Linked DNA regions of Danio rerio. The protein of the gene in region 2 purifies or fractionates together with the protein of the main gene of each other region. This does not show direct contact. Links are inferred from orthologs where the notes say so. Each region holds a gene or a part of one and is shown on either strand. Other genes may lie near its edges.

What was found.
Region 1: the proteins of klhl22 (region 2) and emc1 purify together in Homo sapiens (co-immunoprecipitation; 3 studies listed by BioGRID and IntAct, with this or other methods). This does not show direct contact. The link is inferred for Danio rerio from reciprocal best matches to the Homo sapiens genes KLHL22 and EMC1.

What each region holds. Positions count from the first base shown.
Region 1 is NC_133198.1:24,184,670-24,188,398, reverse strand, and holds the end of emc1 (ER membrane protein complex subunit 1), read right to left. Parts: intron 2,275-3,729; coding exon 2,190-2,274; intron 2,092-2,189; coding exon 1,962-2,091; intron 1,871-1,961; coding exon 1,691-1,870; 3' UTR 593-1,690; downstream 1-592. UniProt on the Homo sapiens protein: Part of the endoplasmic reticulum membrane protein complex (EMC) that enables the energy-independent insertion into endoplasmic reticulum membranes of newly synthesized membrane proteins.
Region 2 is NC_133183.1:61,542,950-61,547,534, reverse strand, and holds the start of klhl22 (kelch-like protein 22), read right to left. Parts: upstream 2,874-4,585; 5' UTR 2,742-2,873; intron 1-2,741. UniProt on the Homo sapiens protein: Substrate-specific adapter of a BCR (BTB-CUL3-RBX1) E3 ubiquitin ligase complex required for chromosome alignment and localization of PLK1 at kinetochores.

The DNA.
Region 1 (3,729 bases), on a different chromosome or scaffold from region 2:
CAATATTGTTCAAAATAACATCTGTTTTGTCCTAAAAAAAAAGGGAATTATACAGGTTTTGGATCGCATTAGTCACTGCTAACAGAATTGTATCATATTCATATTTAAAATTGTCCAAAGAGTGTGTATTATACTTTTTTTTTTAATTCTACATATTGGGAATCAACAAATTAAAACTGCTGTTCAAAAAACAAACTTTGTGTGTATGCTCCATACATTAACTAACTCATGAAGGTTTAGGACAATGACAACATCGGGGTAAACAAAGGGAGAACTTACATTTTGACTGCCCTTTTAAATAATTAAAAAGTTGGTATAGTTGCAAATGATTGGTTGTCAACATTGTTCTGTTTTACAGATGACATAGAAGTCATAAAGGTTTGTAACAACATAAGATGACCAAGTTGACATTTTTAGGTGACAGTCTCTTTTAAATAGTCCAAAATCAGATCGATTATAGGCTACATGCAGTAGTTCGTACATACTTTTTCTAGTTCATACATAGTTGTCAATTATAACTAAATGTTTTGCTGATTACTATTGATTACTGATTATAACTTTACCATCCAGAAAGAATTAAACAATTCAGGGGTCAACAATAAGGGTGTATTCTTTATTATCGATTAGGGATAAAAGAACAAATAATTTATGCATGTTTTAAAAAATCATCAGGTTACCAACTTAACTGAATGCCTACCCTTTTGTTACAAATATTAATAAACTTATTCTTCTGACATCATTAATCTGCAGCAGAGGGGACACTTTCAAAAGTATGTATATAAACAGGCTCATTATTTATGAAAATCAAATGAGTAGAAACATTTTACACAATAATAAAATCACAGGGATTTGTAACGTGTATGAGTCAAAATAAATGTATGATATGGCATATTGGGATCTTGCTCATAAATATCAAGTAAGAAAATGGCTCCAAACCATCCAGTGCATTTGACATACCATAAAATAAGTACAAATAAAACTACCCAAACTCCTTCAAACGCAGAACCTTTGACAGCTTGAAATTTTACATTTCTCATGTGCATTAATGTTTGTCCATTCAAATCCTGTACATGAGATGAGCCAATATATTCATTAGGGTCAGCTCATACATAGTAACTTGAATAATTAAACTTAAAACCCCAAAATCAATCAATCAATCAATCAATCAATCAATCAATCAATCAATCAATCAATCAATCAATCAATCAACCTTTTCATAAATTGAAATAACAATGGCAGTTCCTTTGCAGCATTTCCTCCTCAGTTTTAATACATGAATTTATCCTTCAACCTTTTTGAAAGGCAGACTCTAGACTTAGTGAATCAAATGCGACAATGCTATTATGTTATACCTGGTCAGTCTACCTTTAAATCACATTAGTAATGTTACCCCGAAAGGCACAATAAATAAACAAATTAGACAGTGAATTGTTCAATGCTGAGGGGGGTAAAAACTAAACCTACATCATTATGTCTCTCTGAAAAGGGGAAAAAAAAACGATCATGGCCATCTTTGCACTTACACTCAAAACACCACAAGATCCCCAAGACAGCTGGTTGCAAAAAGATACCAAACTCGTCAAATGATCTTGCGGTTTTGACATGGTCACCAGCTGGTCTTCTGCCATCAATGTGTCGACCACATTGCAGTGAAGGCGAGAGTGAAGTCAACAGGCCATCAGGATGAGTCTTATCGCCATGCCCTATTGAGCAGTTTCACTTCCGCTAGACGTTTGCTGATCATGGTGGCAAAGAAGAGACCGAGGAGGACACTGCTGATTAAGACATAGTCATAGTCATCCTTAAGGACATCAAATTGTTTGGAAGGGAACACTCTAGTCTGGTAGATGTCAAGGCCGTATGCAACCACCTAGAAGGTGAAATTGAAGTTATTTAGTGTGACTACATGTGATAACAACTGCATGGATGTTAAGAGATCAATTGAAGTCCGTGACTCCTACCAAACAGGTTGACTCCAGGCCAGATGGGGCAGTATAGATGCCTCTTACTCTTGATACGGTTTGGTTGTAGTTAATGAACCATTCTGTACGAATGGGCATTTCTGGAGCATATGGTATAAGATTTTCCTCCCTAAAATGGTCAGAGAATCAATTTGTAAATAATTAAACTAAATATATGCTTGACATTTTTCAGATTTCCAACATGATAAACATTAGCTGAAAACTTACCGACTCTGTTCTGAGACCACCTCTGGTCTCCTGGGGTCCAAAAACATCTTTGGTAAGGATAAAATGTTGCCTGATGGCAGCCCCACTATAAAGCAAAAAATATCTTTGTTTTAATTTAGATGCTATTTATTATCATAAGTTATAAAAATACATCCCAAGAAACTTACTACAATGTTATGAGATTAAAGAGCCCCTATAATGAGTTTTTAAAAATGACCTTCCATGCAGTGTGTAAAGTGAAGTGTGTGTTAAGTGAAGTGAAATATCCAGCTAAGGCTTAAACCTGAAAGTACACCGTGTTTAAAACTATTGATTCCTCTATAAAAGAGTCAACTCAGAGTGGTTCAAATAAATCGCGAGGGTAACGAATCTTTAGCTGTGTCGGCATGACGTCGATATGGAACTCAAGCCCCGCCCATTTGTTGCATGCAGACCTGGAAAACTGAAACCCTCGGCCCTGCACACAAACACTGTAGAAAGAACTGGGACCTTGTAAAAGCTTGACAGGAACTTTACAGTACACAGTTCATGGATGAATTCCTTTCTCTATTTCACAAGTGTAAGGCCAAACCCCAATTCTGTTTTTGTACCCCTACCCCTTCCCCTTAGTCCTTGCAACCGAGGGTTAAGGGGAAGGGCTTTAAAATTTACCCCTAAGAATTGGGACAGCACTACATCACCTGCACACGTCATCATATGTCCTCGCAATCTCTTGCTTCATATGAGTTCAGATGATGGCGACTACTGTAGTGATTCCCGTTGTGTTTTTTTTTTTTTTTGGTATTTATCTTCAGGAAATCACTGAAGCCATGTATTATGTTATCATAATGATCTAATGTGGCAATAAGATCGTAACAGTACTGTGCATTTACACCGTGGCCATATTCATTAATGTAAACACATCAAAAACAACATTAACATTATAGCAGACACTGTAAAAAGTACATTCCCAGTCACTGGACTTTTCTGACAGGGTATTCCAGTGTCATTGAGTGTCATTGAGTGTCATTGAGTGTCATTGAGTGTCAGACTGTTGTGGGACTGCTGTGCAGAAGTTATTATTAGGGATTATAGATCGCAAAATTTAACGTTTTTTATTTAAGCGTTTTAAAAAAAAAAAAAAAAAAGCATGACTGTAAAACACGAACGCAGTTATGAATATATTAAAACATGTGTTTGTTTGTTGTAAAAATTCATAATAATAACAAAAAAAGATCTCCTTATTTCCGGGTGCAGTTGGAGCTAGTGTATTCTGGAAATTTTTTCCTACCTCTTGGTTTCGAGTGTGGTCCTGAAAAATCTTCGTTTAAAGGAGTGTATACCCCTTGCCCTTAGCCCTACGCCTTCGAGCTAAAGAGAATTGGGACACCACTACCCCTTCACGTGGTCTAAAACCACATTGAAAATGTGACGCGTGTCACTTTCTTCACAGATTTAAATGCATTTGTGAGCTCGCAATCCACTGCCATTTGTCATTACTATAACCTCCTGTATTGGGCTCACACATATACTCTGCAATCTCACTACATCAAAATTGCTG
Region 2 (4,585 bases):
CTCGTGGATAGGGAAAACTTGTATGCACAGACATCAATAAGCCTATAATTAATTTTGTTTGTTAAGCGCAAAGCTTTGTTTCAAAACTATTTCTAAATTCAGTTCTAATTTCCAGCAAACAAATAAACGAACAATAATAACGAAGTGTGCTCAAAAACCTGAGTTATATCCAAATACACATGCTGTGCCCCATATGGTCTAAAACTTGACAGGTGGACATGGTACTTTGAATATTCGGCCTGAAATCACATGTAATTATGACATCAAAAAAATATTAGCACTATTTATTTGACGGTAAACAATGTTGCACAATATTAGTCAATGGCTTCTGATATGATTTCACTATTTAGAATTTGCAAAGAATACTTTTCTGAAAATTATATTAAGGAGAAAGTCTGAATGCGTGAATGTATAAGCAACTTTACCTCAATTTAACACTACCATACATACATACCATACATACATACTGTCATGAACAGTAAACAAAGTCACTGAGGTAAAGTTGGTTTTATATTCGCAGTTTTTTTACGATTGTTTACACTCTAAATAAAAATATCCACACAATTGCAAAATTCTACTCCAAGGAGAAAAACACTGCCACAGATTTGCACAACATTACACACTATGGGCTCTATTTTGACGGTCCATGCGCAAAGCGCAAAACACAGGGTGCAAACGCTTTCAGGGCGTGTCAGAATCCACTTTTGCTAATATAAGGACAGAAAAATCCACTTTGCGCCGTGGCGCAACGTCTAAAAGGGTTGAGTTTATTTTCTTAATGAGTTATAGGTGTGTTTTGAGAATAAACCAATCAGAGTCTCATCTTCCATTCCCTTTAAAAGCCAGCTGCGTCACGCCATGAGCGCATTTTCTATTTTCATAGCGTAAAGTACGTGTAAGTGGAAAAACTGAGCATTTCACTAGCAAGAAAACAGTAAAACAGAGCATCTACAGTGCGAGAATGAGAGATAAGGCATCTCAAACTCTAGTTTCACTTTCGCTCTCGTGGATAGGGAAAACTTGTATGCACAGACATCAATAAGCCTATAATTAATTTTGTTTGTTAAGCACAAAGCTTTGTTTCAAAACTATTTCTAAATTCAGTTCTAATTTCCAGCAAACGAATAAAGGAACAATAATAACCAAGTGTGCTCAAAAACCTGAGTTACATCCAAATACACATGCTGTGCCCCATATGGTCTAAAACTTGACAGGTGCACAAATCTAAGCTTGTTTTTAATAAAACAAATATAAACATGCATATAATAAATACTGCTAATAATAATAACATTATACAAAAGCAAATTGAATGAACTGAAAAAGCCGCCGAGATGAAGAAAGTATGAAGGCAGTGGTTTTTAAATTCACGTAGGCTAGAAAATAATATGGTTTGTAATATTTTAATCCTTTATATATCCTTATTATATCCTACATATATAAATAAAAGTGCATTTTTATTCACAGAATTTCCACAAAGTATGTCAACTCACAAAACTCATGTCTTTCTTTTATCACATCCGTAACGCATTCATTTTGCCGTCATTTTAAATATAAAACACCTGAATAGACTGGGGCGAGGCAGTGGCGCAGTAGGTAGTGCTGTCGCCTCACAGCAAAAAGGTCGCTGAGTCGCTGGTTCGAACCTCGGCTCAGTTGGTGTTTCTGTGTGGAGTTTGCATGTTATCCCTGCCTTTGCGTGGGTTTCCTCCGGGTGCTCCAGTTTCCCCCACAGTCAAAACATATGCAGTACAGGTGAATTGGGTAGGCTAAATTGTCCTTAGTGTATGAGTGTGTGTGTGTGGATGTTTCCTAGAGATGGGTTGCGGCTGGAAGGGCATCCGCTGCGTAAAAATTTGCTGGATAAGTTGGCAGTTCATTCCGCTGTGGTCCCCCCTGGATTAATAAAGGGACTAAGCCGACAAGAAAATGAATGAATATACTGATATTTTTTGATGCCTGAACTCCATGGTTAAGGGGGAAGAAAAATATAAACAGATATTTCAATATTCTGTTAACATATACCTTCTCTGAGTATATACGTTTAATTTTTTTTTACTGCAAATGTCACATCCATAACGCTGGAATCAGCCATATATGTTTTGACTGAAGTGTGTATGTTTTGACTGAAGTGTGTCATTTTGCAAACAATCTAGGAATTCTCCAAATTGAGTGTGCTGTTTGAATAATTGTGATTATACTTTGAAAAAAGAACCCGGTTTTCAAAATTATGTGAGAATAATTGAAAAAAACTGTAAATAGTGTTTATCTAAGTCATACTTTCTTGCATGCTCTCACTAAATATTGAAAGTAAACGTTAGCGTGGTAAACAATATGGAAAACGTGTCGTAAGTTGTCACTGTTTAAAAAAAAATGTGTGTTTAAAAAATACTACTTTATCTCAAAACCGAAGTCATGACTGTCTCACAAAGAAATGTTAATCATAATGTTAATTTATAATTAATTGTCTCAAAAGAACCGCGTTTTTTATTGCCATTAGGCCTTTTTACTTTTACTTTCACATTTTAGGCATTCATCATGTTTCGATGTAAACACTGGCCTGCGTTTAGTCCTCCAGTGAATTAAAGTAACATTCGCAGAAAGTAACGATAACAAAGACTGATGGATATGTTTTGTTTAGCTGACAGCAGTGTGTGGTCGTTATATAAACTAGTACAGTAAATGTTGTGAGTTTGTGTGTGATGTTGTGTGTGTGTGATTTCTGCAACACTCGTTGCACTTACCAGAAAAGGTCTGACGGCGAAAACAAGCTGTTTAATGACTGCAGTCACTCGATGAAAATGATGAATATTAATATGAAAACGACGAGGACGTTTCGGGATGTTTTGATTTTTGAACGCCAGTTGAGTTTCTCCGTGATGTCACGGCAGTACTTCCGGTGTGCAGAGCAAAACAGATGATGACGTCATCAGCAGCTGTCAAATGAAAAGCGCGTGAGGGCTACTTTACATAGATATATAAATGTATATAAATATGTAAATATCTATGGCTACTTCACTGCGACGCTGGTTGAATTAGGTTACAGTAATATATAAATATTGATATCATATATAAGTTTATATATACTAAATTTATAAGTATTCAAAAAACAAACAAAACGAAATGGTGGAAAACAAAAATGTTTAAATGATACATATCAATTAATTTACTGTGGAAAAAAAACTAAATCTGTCCATGCGTCACCAACGTGGTGTAATATGGGAATATACAACATTTAAGGCTAAATTTAAACTAAGTTTAGCTTTATATTTTATACGTTTTAGTTTATACTTTTATTTAGTTTATATATTCATAAACAAAAAAAAAACAACGATATTTTTAGTTGATAAATTTAAACCAAATGTAGTTAAATTTATACATTAAAATTAATTTATAAATGTGACGCAGCCTTAATGGAGTTTAGGCGGGAATTTGTGTAGGGTGAGGGTCTGTAATGGAGAACTGATGGAAATATAGATAACTTCAGTTAAACACATTTAGTTTTGGTATGTAATCCAACTTTATTTTCATAAGGAAAAGCAGCGCTTTTCGTTTTTGTAGCACAATTACTGGCTAATGAATAGGAAGTCGCACGTTCACCTTACTGTGTCGTGAAAAATGTGTTAAATTTGAACATTAAAGTTTTAAGTTCATTGGTTCTGTAATTTTAACTACACACCTCAATCTGTTGACTATTCTTACCATAAACTTTTTTTTTTTATGTCTCATGTAGTTGTACACAGAAAGCTTCATTTTATTTATTTTTATGAATACGAACAACATATATTCCAGTAAAAAAGAGCCCAGACGTGTTTATCATGCACAGTGCTAATATTCCTTGTAGCCAGCAGAGGGCGCCAGTGATCTTTTCCTAATCACATCTCGGGACGAATAAGATGTTTTTCATCATTAATATTACAGAAACTGAACGACAACAGGTATGTTCACTCGTAATAATTTTGCAGATATTATATGATTGCAAAAAAAATGTATATGTGACTGTGGATCACAAAAAAAGTGTACATTTTTGGAAATTGAGATTAATATGTCTGAGTAGCTTTTCATTGATGTATGGATTATTAGGATAAGAAAATATTTGAGATACAAGTATTTGAATATCTGGAATGTGAGAGTTCAAAATGTAGAGAAATTCGCCTTTAAAGTTGTTCAGATTAAGTTCTTAGCAATGCACATTAATTACTATTACAATTTTTTGGATATATATATATATATATATATATATATATATATATATATATATATATATATATATATATATATATATATATGAAAAGGAAATGTACAAAATGTCATCATAAAAGTTGATATGTACCTAATATTTGAATGATTAATTAATTTAAATCGATAATTGTACCTCACAATGTATTTTTGGGGCCTCACGGTGGTGTAGTGGGTAGCATGATCGCCTCACAGCAAGGAGGTTGCTGATTCGAGCCTCAGCTGGCATTTCTGTGTGGAGTTCGCATGTTCTCCCCGTGTTGGCTTGGGTTTCCTCCAGGTGCTCCGGTTTCCCCCACTAGTCCAAAGACATGCGCTATAGGTGAATTGGGTAAGCTAAATTGTCCGT